2 linked regions of the Styela clava genome follow. The main gene of each other region encodes a partner of the protein of the gene in region 2 in a complex. Links are inferred from orthologs where the notes say so. Each region holds a gene or a part of one and is shown on either strand. Other genes may lie near its edges.

The links.
Region 1: CXXC-type zinc finger protein 1-like (region 2) and WD repeat-containing protein 82-like share a complex: the UniProt entries of both Drosophila melanogaster proteins name them as parts of the SET1 complex. The link is inferred for Styela clava from reciprocal best matches to the Drosophila melanogaster genes Cfp1 and Wdr82.

Annotation. Positions count from the first base shown.
Region 1 is NC_135254.1:14,479,139-14,491,783, reverse strand, and holds WD repeat-containing protein 82-like, read left to right. Parts: upstream 1-6,431; 5' UTR 6,432-6,490; coding exon 6,491-7,435; 3' UTR 7,436-8,752; downstream 8,753-12,645. Other genes in the region: uncharacterized protein LOC120344988, read left to right, coding at 672-761, 924-984, 1,166-1,308, 1,584-1,775, 2,351-2,512; protein ABHD18-like, read left to right, coding at 8,805-9,950, 10,909-11,199. UniProt on the Drosophila melanogaster protein: Component of the SET1 complex that specifically di- and trimethylates 'Lys-4' of histone H3.
Region 2 is NC_135256.1:21,996,429-22,008,729, forward strand, and holds CXXC-type zinc finger protein 1-like, read right to left. Parts: upstream 3,611-12,301; 5' UTR 3,539-3,610; coding exon 1,883-3,538; 3' UTR 1,393-1,882; downstream 1-1,392. Other genes in the region: transcriptional adapter 2-beta-like, read right to left, coding at 170-1,381. UniProt on the Drosophila melanogaster protein: Component of the SET1 complex that specifically di- and trimethylates 'Lys-4' of histone H3. Essential for Set1 association with chromatin and trimethylation of histone H3 at 'Lys-4' at transcription puffs.

The sequences.
Region 1 (12,645 bases), on a different chromosome or scaffold from region 2:
AATTTCAGCGGGATCAATAACGTCCACCAAAGTATTTTATCTGGCCCACTTGTACGTGCTGAAATTATGACACGGTTTTTAGGGATATAAATTTTCGTTAAAAATACCGATTGAAATAACGAATCGTCGGCTAAAATAAATACCATAATTCCTTATCATTATTCGCACCTGAATATATTGTGCATAAGGAGCGATCTCAAATTCACCCATCTCTGAATTATTATTTCGAAGTATGAAGATTAATAAAAGCAAAAACAGATCTCCTCTAGTGTTTTCAAACCTATGAGCGGTGTAACGAATCAGCACAAGCAGCTTCAAGCCTGATTTAAAAAAGCTGCTTGGACGCATGCAGCTGGATACAGAGGTCCTGTTAATCATTGTGCAACTTGGTGGTACAATAGATGTTTGTTGTACATAACTGTTACGCTAGTTTTTGTAAACCGTAAACTGTTTTTAATCATAGTTTAATATTGACCCTCCACCCCAGTAAGAAGGTCTGTTATCTGGAACCTACCCTGGAAAGTGATTCACCCCTGGGTTAAAGCATTAAAGCTCTGCTATGTTTTCATGGCAACTTAAAATTCTCTGATTCAAATCCCTTGTCCACCATGTAATAGATAATGATTGAATATAATACATTTACTTCTATTACAAATATTTTCCTTTCTCAGGGCTACCTCAGTGTTAACAGATTCGGTACATTTATTGGATCGAGTCATGCTTCCATAACTGCGGAAGGAGACAACAGCGTTCTCATGCAGGTTAATTTTTCTTGTTATATTTATGTGTAACCTAAACATAACAGATGTTGATTAATAGAGTAGAGACTTTGAAATGTCTGGCATATGAAGCATAGCCATAAGATGGTAAAATTGATGCGGGTTTTCGATTAATTGCGACTCAAATTTGCCTTTACCATTTAGAAAGTTGCCAAAGAGAGATTAAACCTTTTCAATCCTGAAAAACTTGAACCAGTTGAAGCAGGTAACAATATTTATAAAGATTATATATTTAAACAAGAAGTGCTGCTATCATTTTATTATGCTTTATTTAAAATAGGTTATCAATATTCCAAATTTATAAGCTGTCAAATTGCCTTTTGTAATTGCTTGAATTAATTTGTATATTTTAAAAAATTCATACTATTCCTTTGTTTCTATTTCAGATTTGAAGAGCCCGGCTTATCTTCATTATTTACTCCAACTAAGGGAGACTTCTCAGTTCTCTGAACTTGGAGTGAAATTAATGAAAGGAGGAATGGACAAAATCTTCGATACATGGATGTTACAAGAGAGCGATCTTGTGCAGGTACTAAGTTTGTTTACTGTATTTTTTAGACTGTAAAAGATAATTGAATGACTATTTTCCTATCCTCACCGTCGTAGGGTGGTTCATGTAGCCGCTGGTCGGTTGCGCCTTCCTCCAACATCAAGCTCATGCATCTGGAAACAAAATATCTGGCTAACTAATCCCATACGAGTGGTAACCGGACAAGAGGCGGTGGTTCGCCATATGATTAAGTTGCGCTCTGCTTTTGAATATTTTACTCAAATGATTACTTATTGAATCTGTTTTTCATCCAGAATGCTGCAAGATCTTATGGAGAAAGGTTGATTAGCGAAAGGGTGAAGTTTACAATTGATTCTCCAGATACTCATTCATCACTCAAAACCATCTTATCAAAATTATATCACTTATTTTTGATTGATACTATTCAACGTGATCTTGGATGGTTTGCGGCAAATGAGGTCATCACGCCTTCAATAGCAAAGCAGGTAAAGTATCTTATATCGTACTTTCAACCATCTTTTAAAAGTGGGCTATTTCAGATAAACAACTCTGACTACATTCGGACCTGCAAAATCTTTAAGGTTCGAGTAACAAATTAAAAAGATGACTTTTTTTTACTTATCATAACTATGCATGGAAACAATTGAATTGCGTAATTATACCATACCTGACATGGTGACAGCAGGCTTGGCGGTGTGGCGTGTCGTGCTAAACATTAGGAATATGCTTCACATTGCACCTCTGATCATCCTGCGGTGGTTTCTGGACTCCTCACCGCCATAGGGTGGTTCATATAACCTGTGATCGGTTACGGCTTCCTCCACCATCAAGTTCATGTATCTCAAACAAATAAATGGCTAACTAATCCCATACCAGACATGGTCTGGTAATAGGGAGTCCGTGCTTCAGCATATGATTAAGCAATTTTATCAGTTTTCATATCCTCTGAGATAATATGTATTTCCTATCCTATCACTCATGTGTTTGACATACTTAAAACATTAGGGATTGCAGAATTAAATGGTTATAATATACGGTAAAATTAACTTTCTATACTCAGGTAAATGAAGTTGCAGCTGAAGCATGTCGAGATCTTGCACCTGATGCTCTTCATCTCTGTTCATCATTCAAATTAAGTGATGAAATGCTTTCTGCCCCAATCGCACAAGACTGGGTGGAATACAATGTGGGTGACAATCAGGGGGAATTGTCGAAGCTGTAATAAAGTTTCCCAAATTTATTGTATGGAGACCAACACATTTAATTTATATATCAAGTTGGATATCGATAACTGTATTATCTCATAGACCCAAGAGTTTCATATCAAGACCAGGATTAACCTCAGCTGATATACTGTAATTACTGTTACATCGAATAATTTATTTTCATTTTGCATTCTCAAAAGATTAAAATGTGGCGTGTTAGTGGAGATAATCCATACCTATTTACTTTCAGTACCCAACCTTAGTTCCCGCCTCTATGGGTTATATATTTCCGATATTTTTCGAGTGTGAATATGGTATAGTTTTCTATTTGGAATTCAGTGAAAATGCAATAGATCTAGTCAAGAGTTTCACCGTTTAATATTTGTTTATATTGTTTGATTGATTTAAATATATTAATTTTGCCTAATAGTGTGAGATGCTCACAAGTTGATGTTGGTGCCTCAGCTAGTAAAAGGTTGTGAGATTGAAAGGAAATAAAGCTGCAGCTTCGCACAGCTTTTTCACTCGGAAATATTGGTCGTCGCAATTGTTTTAATGGTAAACGCCTGATTGTATCGCTAAAAGATGGGAATTGACAAGAATAGTATTTTCTTGTGATAATCTTCTGCTGGGACCATTCCTGTCAAAATATGAATTGCAGTAATTTGATGGATCTTGATTTTTTCAATAAGAATATTTAATATCATCTATGTTAGATCTAAATGAAGAAGGTATAGCGGGGGGCTGTAATTGCACAGAAAATCTTCGGCGAAATATCGGTGCACCTCTAAATAAACTGGATTGAGCACCGCCATAAATTTACAATGCATAATAATGTATGCGGATGGGAAAACCCTACATTCCTTCGCATTTGTGGTGTGGTTGTCATGGAATAAAACGAACAAGATTATGCATATGTCTTGTTGCGGCAAATCGTTCGAACAACAGGGCATCGTCTATAATGGCACCAGTACCGTATATGCGGCATCGATACGTTTGGCCAATGAGCATATGTATATGTATATATGCTCATAGGTTTGGCAAATCACCAATCATGTTGCACGCGTGTCAATCATCTGAAAAAGACACGTCATATTTTTATTTAAATTTCTGGATATACAAGTAAATTTTGCTATAGAACACTAATATCAGAACTCTGGCTTCACGATGAACAAATGATGTATTTCCCCCGCACTCATTGAAATATCACGAGTGCGTATAGTTATTCATGAACGCACGCAAAGTAAAAAAATAACTCATAAATTGGTAAATCCTGTTACGGATTAATGAAACAGTTGAATTTAGTCAAATATCAATCTTTGAATTATTTTAGAATGCAAACACTGTGTGTAGGCGTACAAACAGCATCACGCCACTTATCATGAATTCAAAATGCATAATATGCTAATAAGTATCACGTGCGTGTCGCGTCTCGCAGGCGTTTGCGTCGGCATGGCTGGCATGCATTATGGTTTTGCTTCCTGGTGAAGATATTTTAGGATAATGTATTTTAATGTAGAGTACAGTAGTGTTTGGTAAACTTTTATGTTCAATACTCCGTGAGCGAGTTAGTTATAGTGTGTCATGTTTTGAACTCGAATTATTCATAAGGCTGTGAGGGTCGCAAAGGAACCAAAAATACCCCAGCCCACACTCGAGACGCTATCCCACACTCGTTTTTGACAGGCCATACTAGGGGTAACTGGGCCGGGCTTGGTATTGCATTTGCGTTGTGTATATCACATATGGTCTCTATATTGTCATAGCCACCAAGTTTTTTTGTATTAACGTTTATAAAGTGGTAAAATAGTTGGTTAACCCCTTGACGTCAGGCTGAGCGAGTGTGGGCTGGGGTAACTTTGGTGCAAAGGATGTTCAATTACAGCGGTAGCGAATGTAGGAATGAGAAATCTTGTGGCAGTTTCAACATAATATTCATATATTACATAAGTTTTCTGGTGAACCGATATAAAGTATATTTTCATGCCATCGTTGCTGTAGCCTGTAGCCCACACTTCCATTTTTGGTTGAGTCAGGCTGGATCAGTCAGGTGAGTTGAGTCACTCTGACACTGTACCTCATGCAGTCATGACATGCTGAAATGACGTTGATTGTGTGCATTGACTTTGGTGGTAAATACTAGATGAGTGAACACCGACCACTTTTAGGCAACAGATTGTTTATTTGAATTATGTAGCCTACCTTTTAAACCTCGCTCAAGGTTTTGTTTGCTCTACTGATTTTGTAATCAGTTTTTTTTTTTGCATGTTTTTATTAATTTAAGGTCTGTGATGCTGGTTATGGCAGTATGGAGTCTCAATAAAATTATACTTACAATGTTATTAGCCTCTCAACTACCGTACATAAATTAGTAATGCCGGAAATCCCACCATAAATATATATGTATGATTAACATTTGACTCTCTAACAGTAGGGCGCAGTTCTCTGATGTCCCAACATTTGGTTCAAATACACAAACTCACATATCAATGATCACCAATCAAATTTAGCACAATCTTGAAGTAAAAGAAAAAAATCAGTCTTCATAGAATATTTTAAGATTGACATGAATTGTATTGAACAACTCAATAGCTCAATGCTATCATTAAATAGTTTTAACAAATGCTCTTATAAACTATAATATTCTTAGATATGTTAAAAATGTGTTTTTTTTGCTCCTCCTCAAAACCTCAATTTGGATGATTTATTTAAAAAAAACTCATAGGGTCTCCCTAAAACCAGGCAATTTATAGGCAACGTTTCAAGTAATTTGATTATCTATTAATTTTACTATTTCATATCGATTTGAGTTCCATTTCATTTGCATTTTCATATTGCTGTATTGCAAGGAACAATAATATAAGTCGATCATTTTATCCAATACATTTAGAAATATTTTACTCTCAGTGGTAAAATACGGCATCCTTAGTATAAACTGATAAAATCTTGAAATTTCAGACATTTAAAAAAAAATATTCTGATTTTTTAGTCATAGAGAGTTGCCATATTTTTTCATAAATAATTTTTCCTAACACAAAGAGATATAGGCCTACAGTTTGTAAATTTATTGTTCATCTTCAGTTGTTTTTTTGCTTATTTAATATAATTGGGTGGCAACTGACTCTGATGACCCCCAAAGGTCAGATTGTTGCCCTCCAGTCATATACCGAAAACTATTTTTTTGGTATTTGTTTATGTGTGCATAAATTGTTTTCTTGGTTTGACAAAATGAAATAAACTCTCTCTCTCTTTTGAATCCACCCGAAATTGGCATATTGTCTGGTAAAATGTGGCAACTCTCAGCACAAAATCAACTTTGTATAGCAGAATATTTGTCTATATTATTTTGCATATTCTCTGCTTCTGAAAATTAGTAGGATAGTGATCAAAGTGCAATGTTGGTTATATGGTCAATTCTAATTACTTAGAGATTTATATCCTAAACTTATTGGTATTAGACTCCACTCTAGCTGTTCATTGCCAGTTTAATCATAAAATCACTAATCAAATATCAGTGATTAATATTTTCTCTGTTGCATTTTAAACAATTATGATAAAATTTGACCCTCATTCCCTTGTTACCCTGAGTTGTAATTACCCCTTAGCAATGCAGTAAATAAAATGTAAACACACCTTGTGACATGCAGTAAACTAGAGTGTGAACGAACACATAACATTTGTCATTCTCCCAGGGACTCAGGGTAACGAACGAAATAATGTTTTCTAAAATATGACCGTGAAATTTACCTCCTTTTATATAACTAGTATAGGCATTATAAAGAAGTTCATGCCATCTTAATTCATATGGTGTGATCTTGTAAAATTAGACTTGTAATTAGACACTTAAACTTGTAAATTTTCATTGTTTACATCAGCCATGCCATCTGGTTAGTTATTCTGTATTCCTATACCCCATTTAGTTCATGTTATGATGGAACTATTGTATCATTTTATTTTTAGTTGATAACTTTCAGTTGGAATATAAAAATATTATAATGAAGCTACTGGATTCTGTAGTAAAAAGTTTTCGAGTTGCCAAAGTTTTTCGTGAAAATAATGAAAAAATAAACAGCGTCGATTTTGCACCAAATGGTGAAAATTTGATATCAGCTAGCGATGACGATTCGATTGTAATTTATGATTGCTGTACAGAAGGAAAACCAAAGAGAACATTGTACAGTAAAAAATATGGTGTCGATCACATAAACTACACTCACGCTGGAAACACTGTAATTTATGCTTCAAACAAAGTTGATGACGCAATTCGATATCAATCATTACATGATAATAAGTATCTTCGTTATTTCACTGGACACACAAAAAGAGTAGTGACCTTAAGTATGTCCCCTGTGGATGACACATTCTTATCTGGATCATTGGACAAGACAATACGTTTATGGGACTTGAGATCTCCAAATTGCCAGGGTTTAATGCATCTCCCTGGCCGACCATGCGCTTCTTTCGATCCAGAGGGTTTGATTTTTGCAGCTGGAATAAATTCTGAAATGATTAAATTATATGATTTGAGATCATTTGATAAAGGTCCATTTACAACGTTTCGACTGACTCCTGATAAAGACTGTGACTGGACAAGATTAAAATTCAGCTCCGATGGAAAAATGATCCTAATTTCAACCAATGGTTCAACATTACGATTGATTGATGCTTTTCATGGCGAGCCACTCCAAACTTTTATGGGTCATATTAACACTAAAGGTTTATATTTAGAGGCCAGTTTCAGCCCAGATGCACAGTATATTCTATCTGGATCACAAGATGGTCGAATCCATGTTTGGAGTACTGAAGACGGAAGCAAGACGGCTGTTTTAGATGGAAAACATCCAGGCCCACTTCAGTGCGTACAATTTAATCCGAGATATATGATGATTGCGTCAACATGCTCTAACATGGCATTTTGGTTGCCTACTGTAGAAGAATAAAGATGATTCATTGACATAAAGGCATTGATAAGCCTTTTGTACTCCATACTGCCAAATGCGGATGAAAGCCGTAACGCCATGAGCACTTAGTTTGTTATTGTTGATAAAAACATTTTGAGTAAAGACAAAAAAACTTTTAGCTCCACGTTGGGTTCAGTACTTTAATTATTGGGTTTGACACTTTTATTGCTGTCGACTGTCACTGTTCATTTTTACTGAAAGCTGTCATGATTATTTAGATTTCATTTTTAGGTCAGCTTCCTATAAGCTTAGTGAAATCGAGACACTTTCACCTCAATGACTAAAGAACTCTGTTCCCACAGTTTTCCGTCTATGACTTGTTTTACAGTAAATTACGGCTGGAGTAGCTGAGTGAGTGACTGCTTTTATATGAGAGAGTCCTCAAAATATTAGTCTAGGCTGGAATGTCTCAGTTTATTGTTCAATTTGCTAGTATAATAACAGTTGAAAGATAGTTCATACTTTTTTGCTAAAATGTGAATCATATCACTTTACACTAACAAGTTTTGGCCTTAGTGAAACTAGGGAAAAAATGTCTCTCCCCCACTTCCAAGTATGATATTAGCCCAACCACCCCCCACTAGTCAAGTACGTAACAGGCTGAAATTCAAGGATAGCTAAAGTTATATAAATTATTCTGAAACAATATTTTGGATATAAATTTCGAATGTGTCTAAATTGTGTCTTGTTCATCGACGACTTCACTCAAATTTGTTAATACAGGATAGTTGGAATAAACATTACTGGGATTTATTCTTAATAAAAGTTAACTGAAGTCTATTTTTGTCTGACTATTGGATGTCAAATGTTTTAAATGATAGATGAAAATAATCCCCAAATCAATACTTAACTAATTTAAATGTATCCAATTTTAAATGTTTTTGATTCATCTTGGAAATCCCTGGACCTGATAAACTTATCCTAACTAGAGGATGCCCATGTTTATCCTTCTTTTAATATGGTTTGTGCAAGAAATGCTACAAGAACTACATGCTCTCTTTTGGATTATGCTAAAAATGTTTCATGATTTATTGGTGAACTGCTACAACTGAATATGCATGCTTTTATTCTGGAATTAAAATTGACTGGATTTTGAGCTCTTGGAAGTGTTTTACCTGTAATTCAGATTTGAACTTGCATTTTTTGTTGTGGACAGGCTTTATGCTTATGACCTTGGTGTTGATTGGAAAATCTTTTTTGCATATGAAGTCTTTCGTGCAAGTGATTTTTGTAGGGTGTAAAATTGTAAGTTGTGTTGCTGCAATTTCTTTTTACAATAAATTTTTTGCAGAATAATGACATAATATAAAGTATTTGATTAAAAGTGTGAGGGCCGAGGAGTGGCAAAATGAATTTAAGCAAGTTGGATTTATTCTACCGAAGGCTCATCTTAACAAAATTCTATACCAGAGGATGGGGTAAACCAGAAGAACTGCAGGAAATATTGAAGGTCCATGGTGTGATTTCCAACAGGGATTCATGTTTGGATTATGTTAATGATCACATATCTGAATCTAATGTGACCTTGGAAAATCCAGTCTCAAGCAATGGGTGCGTGACTGTCGATGGTAGTTTCGTTTCTCCAGTCTGTAAACTTTTACCCAAACTGCTACCAGAAGAGTGTAAGACGTCACACTTCCAAATGGTGTTACCTGCAACTCCAAGGAAATCCAAACCAGATAGTATTACTTCTTTGAAAAGAAGAATAAAACAACTTGACTTAAATCCGCTGTGCATTCATATGGCTGGAACGGGCGACCATGGGTTTTCTAGAAGACGAGAACTCATCGCTAAGCCGTTATTGTCGCATGGAATTTCTTCTTTATTGTTGGAAAATCCGTACTATGGTTTACGAAAACCAAAAGATCAATCTCGTTCCGGTTTGCTACATGTCAAAGACCTATTTTTAATGGGTCTATGCCTTATTTTAGAAACTCAAGTTCTGCTAAAATGGCTTGAAAAAGAAGGTTTTGGGCCGTTCGGTCTTACTGGTATATCAATGGGTGGACATATGGCTTCATTAGCAGCCACAACTTCACCTAAACCAGTCGCTGTTGTACCTTGCATGTCTTGGACTTCTTCTTCTGTAGTTTGGACAGAAGGGGTTCTTAGTAACGCCATACCATGGAGGGTGTTGGAATCTCAATATGCAAAAGATCCAAATTATGAGACCCAAATCAATGACCTGATTAAATATAACACTGTGGATTCCTATGAACTAGGTAAAGACTATGTGAAAGATAAAGGTGCTCTGAAACCGACATATGTAATGAAAAATGTTGCTGGGGATCAGGTATCGGAGAAGGATGACAGAGAGAGAAGGCGGAAACAGACCCTTAGATTTATGAAAGGTGTTATGGATCAAGTGACAGATCTCCAAAATTTTTCAGTTCCAATTGACCCATCAATGGCAACATTCGTAATCGCGAAAGCTGATGCGTATTATCCGATACATAGTTTACGACCAATGAATGAGGTCTGGCCTGGTTGTGAGGTAACATTCAATAATTTTTTTATGATTAAATTCCCAACTGAATCAAATATTTGAATGGATCAAAAATGGTCATATTGGATACTCCTCAATTTGGATTATTTCTGCTTGTAATGTTATGTACTGATTAAAATGTGATAGGCAGATTCAAAATAGCTTCATCAAACTCTTGTTTCTGGAATTTCATGTGTTTTTAGAATTAATTTTTTGAACATATGTACCCTTTTTCTCAGTCATTCTGTCCTGTCAGTGTGTCGAAGCTGTAGCTTCTTAACAGCTTGACTGATCTGTATCAAATTTCCAACGCGAGTAATGCTGTCACCCTAGTAATGTGCGTTTCACCGAAAGCCGAGATTGATATTTTGTTTCCATGGCAGCAGTGAAAAATGTGCCGATGGTTAAAAATATTCCGATTATTTTCATAAATTTTCGCCTTTTTCCTCAACCAATTTGAATATTAAAATTTCGCGAATGCTACCCTCTGCGGAAATAAATACTTTTTCGAACAATCCAAAGAACAAGTCTTTCATCTCTGTAGTCCATAAACTGATAAAGCTTTAGGAGTTTCACTGAACATGCTTTAATTATTAGCCACAGCATAACTTTCGCTGATTGAAACTGATGAGACGCACAGTGCTCACAATGACCTGGCAGTTTTGGTACAATGGCGTCTTCCTATTACCAGTTGGTAAACCTGAAATGACTTGGCTTCATAGCTCAAGCAATGGCGGAGATCCATACTGGGCGCCTACCAGCTTGTTTATATTATGACCCAATTGATAATTCAGAGTATACTTTAATATTCTGAATATCAAATTGTTTGAATTTTGCCATTAATGATTAAAAAGGAATCATTTCATTCTTTTTTTTTTCAAATTATTTTAGCAATATGAATTCAAAATCTATTTTGTGAAGTTGCAAGTCATTGAAGCTGTCTGACTGTTAATATTTCTTATTGCAGGTGAGGCTACTCAACACAGGACATATAGGTGGATTTTTGATGCATCAAACCGATTTCTGTAATGCTATTGTTGACACTTTCTCAAAACTTATAGAGAAGTATCACTCATCGAAAGAGAGCAACAGTTGCGGTAATGAAACCATGAATTTGAATGAGTCGGAAGAAAGTGAAACTACTTCCAGCCCTATCGCTATTCGTGAATTGGATAACAATTCAAGCATCTCAAAAAGTAAAACTACTCTTTTAATAGGTTTATTTCAAACCCTCAGAATATTTGCAATCAAGTCATGATGTCTTGAAAAGGAGGAGGATCGGAAGGAAGCCCATTCATTGGCTCTTCAATCACCACAGTATTTCAAATATACTTTACTTTAGAAAGATTTGTTTCATCCATTTTTTGTTACAAGGTTCAATTTTCTCGTTTTTTTTTTCCTCAATAAATTCATTATCTAATCTTTTATTAGAAGATTTAATTTTCTTGTTTATAATCCCAATCTTTTTTTCCTGCTGTAAGTTCATTTACGACAAAGATATGGTAAACGCTAGCGACAAATGTGCTTCAGTGTTGTATTATTAAGCTTATGAGTTAAGATGTAAACTAGTTTTCCATCTATTGTAACTCCTTTTATATACTGTTGTACTTGCAATTGAAAAAAATTTCAGTTATATCTAAAACATATTTATGCAGTCATGTTTGCCTCAGATGTGTCAATGGTCAGGATGTCGTATTCACTATAATACAATACTTTGAAAACATGTTATTGGTGCATAATCTGAACCCTGATTGCGATGTTGTAATGCGCTGTTGCTGGGTGTTTGAGTCAATAAAATGACAAATATGTGGGATATTGTCTCCCTTGTCATGTATGCCAAATGTGAATGTTTGCTCATTTATATAATTTACCAGACACAATTGTTCTACAAATAAGTTACCTAGTGAGACACTCGAGTTTATGGAAAAATGCAGGAGCAAAAATAGCATAGAACAATGTATAGCTAAGATGGTTTTGGAAAATATCAACCTGTAGCCAAAGCAACAACTGTCTTGCGATTCATGCACATGTTTTCGGTCGTAGCTTTTGTTTTATCAACATCCTAAATCAACACTTCTTAGATGAGAACAGATAATCTATTTCAAATCCGCCATGGGTAAAATTGCGGTGAAAGCACGCTGAGCATAAGCAGAAAATGTTAGATGTGTTAATCGAGAATTTATCAACGAGATGTCACTTTAAAACAGCTTTTTTAATACTGGTTTCAGCACTGAAATGAATAGCCCGTCACGCCAGCAAACAAAAAAAAAAGATAATTTTTTCATATATTTACACAATTGCAACCAGTAGTACAGAATTTTAAATAGGTGGCCGTGTATTTCAGAAACGAAATAAATTAACGCGTCTTTAAATCATATAAAGAATAATAACCTGAAGTCACAGCTTGAGTGGGAAAACGCATACTTCCGCCTTGTGTATATGCATTACGCACGCGCATAGCGAAGTGTACTATTGAGCACAACACTCGTATTTGGCAACAGAAATCAGCTGTTTTTACATGCCGTGACGATTTCCTTGTCATCTCAATAAGGCGGTTGCTATTAGCATTTTACTAACTTTTATTTCAAAAATATATTTGTGAAATATTGAAATTATATTATTGAAAATTCATCAATCTTTCCAAATTTCATAAATATCACAGAAATAAAATGGTTTCAGCTACAAATGGTGACGCGCCGTGTAC
Region 2 (12,301 bases):
TCATAAGAATCAGATTATCAGATGAAAACTTTTAGGCAGTAATATTACAATTCAAATTTTAGCTCAAAAAATTCAAATATGCTATTTTTCTAGACTGAAGAGTAGAAGTAGAAATATAATATAATGAATTGCACGAAAAGTTTTTAACGAGGTTAAAGAAAGGTATGCATTATTGGGCAGAAACTCTTGGTAACCATCCATTATTATTCAAAAAACTTTGAATCTTTTTTCTTTGAAATTTTTCTAAATAGCCTGGAAATCTAATTTTTATTCCGAGGCCGTATTTTTTCTGTATAAAGTCTTTTATTATCAGAGTTTTTGTTGTTAAATATCTTGATGGGATCATTTTAAGCATTCGACACATTGTTTTTTCATCAGAACTAAGCAAATGATGTCCATACTCTGAACTCAGTCTATCAATTGGTTTTTCGTTCTGACTTGAATCGGATGTTGAACTCTGTCTAATTTCAGAGTTAATTTTGTTACGTCTACGCTGCTTGACGTCGAATACCACACCATCCTCTAGCCTTTTTATTCCATTTTTACGATACATTTTCAAATGCTTAATCTTCGTTTTCAAAATTTGTTCTTTCCTTGCATCTCTTGCAAAATTAAGAGCTTGTTCTTCTCGCATATATTGAAAGCATAAACGTAGACGTTTCAAATAATCTCGATCTTGTTTGGCTCCAGGTAATGGTTTACCGATAAATTTTTCCACCAGATGGTATTCCCTTGCTACACTTTTTCTTCTGTGCCGTTCTTTTAATTTGTCAAGATACATTCCTACTTGCGCAACTTTCAAATCAAGGTCTAGTTCATCCTCATCACCATTTATTGCCAAGCCACTGATTAGTATTTCAGCCTCGTTATCATGTTCCATTTCATAATCATCTCTTAATGGCATATAAGCCAATTCTAGCTCTTCTTCTTTATCCAAATCCAAACGAGGCAACTGGATAGACAGAATTGATTCATGCAATGGTGGTGTATGATCTGTCATCCTATTAGGGATATCATTTGGCACAGTCACTCGCCCAAGATCGACACTTTCAATATAAGAAGCGTAATAATGCTCCTCCACTTCTTTTGAAGTTCTTTCACCAATGTGAACCGCTACATCCTCCCAGTTTCCAATGCCAAATTGTTCAATTCCATCCAAAAGTAGTTTTTCTTCAAAGGCTGTCCAATTAGGATCGACAACTTGAAATGATCCTTTATCAATAATCTTGTATGAATGAGTTTTCAAATGATTGCGGAATTCAACTCCTTTCGAAAAACATGACAAGCATATTGATGTGTTTGAGCATTCTGAACAGCGAATATGCACAAGAGGTAATTCCGTTTGACAGTGATTACATTCTGATCTACTTGGAACAGACATTTTGTCCGTAACTAAAAAACAAAATGGGAAAGTTAGAAGACAAGCTAAGAAAACAGAATAACAAATTTCAACAAAAGTTGGATATTACAAAGACAAAAACACAAGTCAATCAATATCTAGCATAGCCAACTATACATGAATATCCAATCTGATTGGCACAATTATGAAACACACTATTCTGTGAAAAAAAAACTTTTGTATAGCATGTACAGGCCATACTCATCAAAATACTGTAACAAGCCAAGCATACAAAACTAACTAAAGTTTATTCAAGTAAATTATTGCGCAATTTAAAAATGAAACATCCCATCATCCAAATGTGTCACACACATGTCTGTTGATATAACATGTTCATATGAGACTATGAACATTCCATGGTGTGGATCGCAAACAAACATTTTCAAATAATCAAACTTTCAAATATTTCAATTGCTTTTCTATTTGTTTCCTAAACTTGAAAGCAGGGCCTTCAATTATGAATTTATCAAATGAATTACAATCTTAAATGACAAGTCTATATGCAGGTCTTTTAACATTTGATGGTTTTGTTCGCATATCGAGACATGCAGGATCATGGGCAGTTGTTTGGTGCAATAACAAAGGTACAACACCAGCTCTTGATACCATAGAATTGCGAATTCTGCGTTCTTCCTCAAATATTTCATCAATTTTTAGCCATTGTCTAATTCGCTGTAAATCAACCGATGCTCTGTACATAGATTCCCATTTAAAATGTTTGTTACATTTTCTCTTAGCTCTGCTGCAGAACTCATTAGCCAGTTTAGGTTCATCACCCGTATATATATCCTCTTTCAATGGGCATCCACATACTTCATTGGCTGTGATTTTTGGTTCTTTTGCATGTTCTGGACAAATTACCTGTAATCTTTTACAATAAGTTTGTTGCTGTCGATTATAGACATCACAAAATAGTCGCTCTGAGCCTTCAATACGCGTCGGATACACAGACCCAAAAGAGATTTGAGATTCAATTTTAATATAACATTTGTCCATATGTTTTATAGCACCTCGAAGAGAAACAGGGTGGCCACAAACAACACAAAATATAGTCTGATCACTTTCATCAGTTTCTTCTGCATCAGACAATTTTTCACAAATTTCAAAAGTTTTGGATTGCGTAATAATTGATTCTAATCTCCTAAATTTTTCCTCCAGTGCCTGAAGTTCGCTCCTTGCTTGAACCATTGCAGCCCTAATTCTCTCCAACTCTTCTCGACCCATTTCATTTGCAACTGTTGGAGTATGATGCCAGTCATTCACTCGAGATGGCATAATGTGTAGCAATCTCTTAGCAGCTAACCTTTTACCACATTCATCTGAGCAGTACTTGGATTTTGATCTTGCAGCCAAAGTGCATCCAGGTCCATAACATTGTCGGCCATGAATTTCTAACTTAGTATCCGGTTTGCTAAACTTTTTCTGAGAAAACATACTATGAGATATATCAAAATTTTTCCATCTTGATGGCTCCTCTTCGTATTCGGTCTTGATACTCTTTTTAGGAAGTGGTTCTTTTTTCACTTCAAAATGAGAAGTTGACAAATTAGTTTTCATAGTAAGACATTGTCGTTTTAGACACTTCATATCTCTGGTTGGATTCAGGCAGTTTTGACATCTTTTACAATTAACAATACGTAAACAATTTTCACATTCGCCACATTCATCTGCCGACAACAAAGCAGCTTGTTCTTTATTACTGATTGATACATTTTCCTGTGGAGACTCTTTCTTGACATTAACAGGTAAAGATGTAGACAGTGAATTTGATTTTGTAATGTCAGATTTTTGATCATCATCATTCTCGATAACCTTTTTTATTTTTTCACTTTTGACTTGTTCTTTTTGACCATCTTCACGCCTTTTTCTTTTTGCTTCTTTCTTTTTCAATTTCTTTGCTTTTTTACCATCTTCACTTCGATTCTTAGATTTCTTCGACTTTCTATATTGAATCTGTAATGAAGGGTTTTTACGACGACACCATTTGCAGTAAAAGTACTTGATTCGTCTTGACTCACGCTCCGTCATATTAATACAGTCTCCATGATACCATTCTTCGCACTGATCACACATGATCATGAATCTGTCAATATCAGGACTTCTGCAGATGCAGTAAAGAGTTATTTCTTCATCAGACATATTGTAACTATAATAGACTATACAGGAATACAGTACAATTCCTTGTTTATCTATGTCTATGACCTGTAATAAAAGTCTATGTTAATAATATAGTATAATATAGTACAATCACAGAATCAAGTCAATCACAGTAATTCAAAGTGTTTACAACTTCTACTTTCAGAGTTGGTCAGTTATGGTTTCTCTTCTGTTCTTCCACAGTCAAACCGCCATGCATATAAAACAGATAACTGGTCAACTAATTCCATACCAGTCTGCCAGTAGGGCAGAATGCCAAGGTTTTAGGATGCCCCAACATTCGGTTCAATAAAACAAACACTCCATTTGTCTATCGAAGAGGGCATCTGGCACGACAACAGATGCATCAGATGGCACTATGCTTGTCTTGATAAATATTTAGACTAAATCGATCGCGACATTCGTAGGCCATCACATTACGCATTAGCAAAGTTGTGTTTTTTTGCTTACTCGTAAATGCTAGGTTCAATTTCTTTTTTGAGTAAATCCGATTATTTTTTTCAGAAAAATCATGTGTGATGCTTTCAGAACGCGCCTCCTTTTAGTTTATTGTGTAGTGCCGGTTTGCCTATATAGATTGCCAGATTGTCGCGTAATGAGGGGTTTGCAGATTGCACTCACTGTTATAATGCCTTGGTCTAGCCTATAATGCATGAGTGGGAGAAGAGGCTTCTGTGGCACACCATAGGCCTATCAATGAACCGTCTATCAGTCTATTCTCTCCCCCGGAATAAAATGATACTTCATCTTACTCCTGTACCGGTACCGGTACCGTACCTCAATACCTCATACCTGTACCGGTACACCTACCTACTCTTAGTCTTACTGCTGTACTGCCAGACTGTCCTCCAGCTATGCGGGATAATCAAAATATAGGCCTACTTATATGCCTAACCCTGACAAACACCAGTGTGGGCACTGGTTTTCTCACCTAACCTTACCAGAAAATGGTTGGACCGTACCTTTCTTGCAACAAGGCAGCGAATATTTCACACATCGAGTTTTCCTATTTTCGAATATGAGAGGACAACAGACGAGCACAAAAATACCTCTTATTGATGTTGCGCCCCCTAGCGGAGGTAAATAAGAGTTAGGTTTTACATATTTATGGACCTTTCCCCAAGCATCGACTTCCTTGTTTACTTCGTAACATTGGCCAATCAGCAAGATGCAAAAAGTGACGTAACAATGCTCCCTTTTCGCATCCGCTCAGACACTTTTCTCACTCAGACAGATTTTCAAACGTGGTCGTAAACATTACCTCGATTTTGCATTTTTGAACTCTATTTGTTAGTTTTCAGTTGTGTTTCGGAAACTTAAATCTAAATCAGATAACTCAATGATCACTCTGTCTTCCTAGGAGTTTTAATTTAATTGCAGTAATAAAAAATAGTGTAGAAATAGCTGTGATAGACTAGGCTAAAATCCTTTACCGGTACTTAGATTAAAAATTAGATTGTTGTATGCGATGAATCATAATTATGATTTGAAACACACACCCCATTTAACAGGCGCCAACTTGCCAAAGCACTCTTAAAATAGCCCCAAAAATTTTGCAATGGTAAAGTATAGGAAGAATTTTTCGGGGTCAAAGTTCAGGGAAAGGTCCATTGGATGGAAAATCTGATATGATGTTATATTCACGCTTAATTATATGTCGATCTCGAACGGTTATCAGTCCATGCCGGGTGTGGTATTTTTTATTCAGCTAGAGGAGTCCAGCAATCCTCTCACACATCCCTTATCCCCTATACTATGGAATTCAAAACTGCGAATCCACGCAGAGTTATCATGTGGTGCGATGATAAGTATATTCCCAACTCATAGCACAATGCACCACCCGCCACCAGAGGCGTAGCTTAGGGGGGCAATGGGGTACATACGCCCCCGGGCGCCAAAATGGGACTTGCAAAAATTTCACAACAAGGATAAAAAAAAACGGTCACAAGCAAGATTGCACCGGCGGCATACATCTAGTCTTAGTACATGGCCAACTGCACACTTGGTCCAATGAGCATATATACATATGCTCATTGCTTGGTCAGACCACTTACGTCGAATGCCGACGTCATCAGGCACATGGCTCGTGCACAGTCAGATTTCCATCATAATTACATGGCCAAAAAAACTGGCCGGGAAACAAAGCAAATGTTAGGTAACAAAATGCACGGGGTTAATTGATTAACGTGGTTCTGTATCGTTTAGTTCTTTTCTGTGCACTCCGATGTATGTGGGTATTAGTTCTGTGATGGAGACAAAAGGCAACGGCGAAGTGCTGGTAATACATGTTTTGAGTAATACGTGGTTTTGTATTTCGTGGTTGTCAAAGCAGACTTACATAAAATATATTATATTGTGCTAAAAGAGACCAATGCCGTTTTCGACAAATAATAAAGGTAAGCTTCGTGATGATCTGAGTCAAGCCGTATGTAGTAGTATATATTTACGGTCAAGCTGCTGTAGAAAATGTCAAAACAAAATTCACAGCCTGGGGGTTCGGGTGGGTAGACGAATTAGGCAACGTAATTAGAGAATGCCTGGAGAACTGAAAAGAGATGCAGGACTTCAACCAGAAGAATAAATTGTGCGCGTTATGAAGAATGTATTTGATCGGCTTCAACGGGAGATGTCAACAAATTTTTCACGACTAAAAGACCTAAATACAAAATTTGGATTTCTGCTTGACGTTAAAACTCTTCTATCTGACACAGATGAGGATACAATTCGTCGAGATTGCACAGATTTTGCAAATTTCTACGACACGGACATCAATGGCCGAGAACTTTTTACCGAAATTGGAAATAGCAGAAAGCTGCTCAGTGACAGAACTGAAATTCAACCAGAAACTCTTTTGACTCTCCTTTGGTTTTATTGTGGCTTTTGGAGACGACGTCCCAAATCTGCGAATTTCTCTACAAATTTTGTCAACATTACCAGTTTCAATTGCAAGCTATGAACGGTCTTTCAGCAAATTGAAACTTATTTTGTCGTATTCGCGTGCATCAATGGGACAAGGTCGTCTCAGTGATTTTTCACTTAGGTGTTGAAAGAGAAACATTGAAAAAAAAAAAGATTTTGATAACGTGATTAACAAGTCTGCGACAGTGAAATCGAGAAAAATAAATTTATTGTAGATCATGTAAATCATCTTTGACTGAGTGGGACATTATGGACATAAATATGCTATATTTTGTATAGCTTTGCTTCTTCTTTAAATTGTTTTTACATATACAAAATAAATGTAATAGAAAATATGATTAAACGTGGAGGTCGGGGCGCCACTTTTATAGTTTGCCCCGGGCGCAAAATATTCTGGCTACGCCTCTGCCAGCCACGACATCTTTCAAACCATGTTTTCAGATATGAATATTGAATCAGAATCTGAAACACTGTTATATATTATGTAGCCTACTCTTTCGGTCAAATCAAATCAATAATCACTTTTTGATTTTGTAAACATAAACACAATAAATTTTCATTTAGAGGATTGAGCATATCAATGAGAATATATACATATAGATGAATCTACACATTTTAAATATATGCAGTTGTACATAAACGAAAATGAAGGGCATTGCCACTTTTCAATCTTTGAAACTGACTCTTTTGTAAGTTGAACGTTGAAACCTCATGTCGGGTATGGGATTAGTTAGTTACTTATTGGTAGAGTAAGCCGTAACCGACCAGCGGTTATATAAATTGTAAACCACCCTACGGCGGCGTGGAGTCAAGCAATCTTCTCGCACATACCTATCCCCGCATGGGATTCGGACCCACGAATCCAAGCAGAGAAATCAGAGGTGCGGTGACGAGCGTATTCCTAACGATTAGCCACACCTCCGCATCCATGAAATAAACTGACTAGCATGCTAGTATTGAATTAGGACCGCAGCTGCTTCCCAGAGCATCGACTCACTTGTTTACTTCCTTAGCATTGGGTATTCGGCAAGATGTTAATCTGAAACAATAAAATTAAATTGATGACACATTCACCATTTTTGCAGGACTTGGAAACTAGTACGCAATATCGCAATGATGAACATTGAACACATATTTTGGAGTGAAACCTATATTTTGGCGTAACAACTGAAGACACGATGGTAAACATTTTAGCTTGTTTTCATGACTTCGCATAGATCAAATAACCCGATTTTGCAGAATAGTATACTCTCATTTTTTAGAGCAGCGTTTCCCAAACTTTTTCGTCCACAGACACTTACACTTTTAAGTTATCTGGTGGGTTCGATTAGAGATTTTGCCATGTACAAAATATGGTCGTCTCATATAACGTTCATGTCTTTTGGATGTTATATGTAGTTCAGCTGCCAGAGCCATGCTCATTCATATAAAAAGTGTTCTAAAAACGTGATCCTTACAAACTAAGTTAGATATTGAACTTCGGGTGTCGCTGCTCGATCGCCATTCCTGGTTCCCAGCGACTTCCCTTCCCCAGTAAAATTGTGTGTCCAGTTTTGTATTTTGTTAATTTCGTATGTTATTTTTTACTGAATGGGAAAAAATAGTGGAACCCCAAAAAATAAAAAAGTAAAATTGATAAATAAAAAAAAAACGGTGTAATGTAGCGGTTCCTAATGAGTTCGTCGTGGCGATTTGCGCCGCGAAAACTAACAGAATTGTGTTAAACATACCTAAAATATGATTGAATATTTTACATACATCATTTATTATAAGTGTTTTACTGTTTCTTAATTTGAATGCTGTGTGTATGAATCAACAAATTCATTTTACCTTTCTATGTCGTTTACTTTCCATTACGTAGTGTTTGCCTCTAATGTTACGTCCAATGGAGATAGAAGTACTCGGTGCAACTTTGCGAGCTGTAGTTTATTTATCTGCTGAATCGAGTTTAGCAAACATGAGTAATTTTTTCAGAATTTTCAAGTAAAACCAGGCAGAGATGGGGAAGAAGAGTTGAAACCAAAAACCAAAACAATTGCTGCAAACTTGATAATGAACTTAACAGTCAAAAAGCTAGGCCGACGGTTAACGAAAATGCCATTAAAATTTTAATGAACGATTATCATGTTTATCATGATAAAAATTTAAAAAAAGATGTAAAAAATATTCTATCCTCAAAACTATTTCACATCTCAGTCCCACCAATGACATTAAACGAGAATATCGGTTTTGGAAACCGAAGACTTATCGATCGATAGTTAGGGGATCCCCCAAAACAGAAACTGCAGTTTCGATTCATCCGCTCTTGTAACTTGCGCACTGCGCATCGCACACACACACTCGGCGGGTTTCAAAATTCTCTCGCTTTACAAAAATCTAGATCACTATATCAATAATTGATTGATAACTCGCTAATTATACGACATAATTCGCCCAAAATCAATAGGCTTCTGGTCCGAGATAAGTTGAATGCACATGCAAAATCTGGAGCAGATTCAATCTCGCTTTCGTGAGATATCGCGTGCATCTAACAGACACACACACAGACACACAGACAGACATACAGACAAATACCTATCAATATACTTACCGATCTTAAGATCGATAAGTAACAACATGATAGGCAACTCTGACGTCACTCCATAAGACTGCAGGCGAAAGATTATATTTCATGATACGCTCCAATGCACGTATTTCTCGTCGCCTTTCGCGACCGTTTTTCGCTCGCTTTTGCTACTCGGCGTCTTCTTTGGGTGTAGTACCTGCCTTTTTGCGCCTGTAACGAAAAATATAATCACTATATCTAAGAAGTTTTGCTCACTTGGTAAGCTGGAATGGCAGACAAGCTGTAGAGAGTAATTCTGGACATCATAGACGTTTTTATTATCAGAGAAGATTACAAACGCGATAGCGTAAAGATTTGAGTGGAACATTTTGCAGATAATGACAAAGTTAGTAATTTTAATGTTTGCGCTTAAACATTGAAATTTCATTTAAAGAGGGTGTCATACAAAACAGCAAAACTGTTTTTACTTCTCCTAACGGTGCTGTGATACAATTCCATAAAACAAAGTTTGCACCTATCGAACTTGCTTTAGTAGGTGAATTTATTAGACATATTACATATTCAGTTAATCGTAGGTAACATTGCTGGTATATAATGCCTCGTAGATAGGTTTGTGTCTAAATTTAGAAATTTAGCTCATAGCCCACTAATTAATATTATCTTCTGTGCAGGAGGTTGCAAGACTGAAACTTAACTTGCAGCCTTACCGATCAGCTGACGATGCTCATTTAGTTTGGCTCCAGCAAGTCTTCATGAAAGACTTGTGTGAATGGAAACTACCCATATGTTTTTCTTTCCTCCGATTTTAGAAGACAAATTTATTCTGAGGGATTTCGCATCTAATTCTCATTGATTGTTAGCTGTTTATAACTCCTATTAATTGTGAATTCTGATTATAACAAAGAGTTAAAATTTTTTTTACGTAATTCACTGGCACCCTTTTCTTGTCAATACTCCAAGCTGAGGTAATAAACAAGACAATACATTTTTTGCATCTGGCAGCAAAATATGCACACTAATTAAAAGTTTGACACATTGAGATAATACATCATGACAGAAAATACAAGTTAAAGATATGTATGACCATCACATGGTAATTAAAATTAAAAAAAATTATTAGGGGCTGTGGAGTATGAGAAGGTTCAAGACAAAGAAAAGAACAAAAATTCATAGCTCATGAACTCTCAATTTTGCCTTCATTGCTTTATTTCCCAAAGCAATGCTTGAATCGTCTAGAATCTACTCTAGATGGATCAGTGGTGTCAAACTCATGGGTTTTCGAGAGCCGTATTGCATTTTGGAAATTGTAGAAAGGGCCGCAAACAGTTTTTGATAATGTATACTTGAAAGATATTTTTAAGATAGTTTTAGTTTACGACATAAATTGTGATGCAACTAAACAGTTGGATTAAGTTTTATTATTTTCTTCAATTTCAAATGCAATTACATATTAATATTTGCATTCCACTATTATTGCAAGTTACTGTATTTATTACAAAAAATCATAAAATTCTATGTACAACCATCAAAATCATTTTTGAACAAGCTTTGGAAAGAATAATACATACACTAAAAATGACTAAATGTAAATATATGGACCTAAAATTAACAAAAATACTACAGTATAAACTCAATCTTTTTTTTAATTACATTTGTCCTGACGTTTGGCATCTTTTTTTGTCACCAGCATACTAGCGCCAGGCTGAAATGATTTTATAGTATCAACTCTAACAAACGAGGTCACATGATCATGGGTTAATCTGGATCTTTGCGGATGTTTAATTAATTCCAGTAATGCAAAAAAGTTACTTTTATCATTTCATGTATAGATCAGTAAAAAAACAAATGACAGATTTTTTCGACAAGACATTTCGCGCCACATAGGGTTGCTTGAATTATTATTGATATTGATTTTTAGTAACTAAGTCGTTGTATAATTATATTAATATACCAACACATGGAAATTTTCTGTTCGAAGTTGCTCTTCGAATTTGTCATATTGACTGCTGAGCTTATTGTGTTTTTTCATTGTACTGATGGAAATATGACAAAATAAACAATATCTCCAGAATTTTGCGAAATTCAGAAATATTGCAACTCCCAATTTTTTCGAAAATGCCACCTTCTTCTTGTACTTTGCGTTTAATTTAATCACTCAAGTGTTTTATTCAAGTATTCTTTTGCTAGCCTGATGTGTATTCCTAATTGGGTCAAAATGTGAACAAAAAAAATAATTTTTCAAAACTAATTTCAGTAATTTGTTTTCTGTGTGAATAATCAATTTCACTTTAAAAGGTTTGAAAAATCTATTACATTTAGATAAAAAAAAACTTCCAAAATACTATTACAATTATTGTTAATCGTTCGAGGGCCGCACTGGAAGGTCTATGGGGCCGCGAGTTTGACATCAAATGTCTTTGCATGCCTCCATTGGTTGTTCTTCTATTGCAAACATTTATGGAGTACTCTAACTATTTTTGCTATTGCCTCTTGTGCTGCAGGAGTCTCACAATGCTTACCCAGGTTTGTCCACAACTTTCACATCTGAAGAAAGAGAGAAGATTTATTAATTTTCGTTAGGAATAAATAAATAATGTCTATATGATTTAGAATGGAAAAGCTAATAAATCCAATATCTCATGTTTTATGTAAAAAATGTTTTACTGAATTTGGTATATAAACCAACTAATATAGAGGACTTGCACGGGTCACGTGACATTGTTACTGGACGGCAATAAAACAAAAACGTCCATTTGGCTCCTGTCAGTTGCAAGTCGGATTATACGTTTGCGTTTTGTTTGGTTGTTGAAAATGGTTATTTCGTTGTTCTGTTGGCTGTACGTATAGTATAGACATGGACGAAATGGATCTTCAGTAATATTCCACTGATTTCAAAAAATCCTGAACGTCGCGCAATGTGGATATCATCTATTGCCTATTGGCAGAACTGCTTGGTGTCAAGTCCAGAAGCCATCTTACTTGTGTTTCACTGTTTGCGGACAGCACTTCGTTGATGGTGAGTGATAATGTGGTGATAGTGTGCCGTTATCAATTTCTTTAAATATTCACAAGCTCCCTCATTTCAATGGAAAGCAGATGACAAACTACTGTTATCAGTAGGCCTAGGCGTGGGCCTACTTGCAGTTGCAGACTTGACTTGTGTAAGACAGTAAGGAATTAATAATCAATTGCTGTACTGCTGTAAGGTCTGACAGAAGGTATTGTTTCCTGATTAGCAGGTAATCTATTACTAGGTGTGA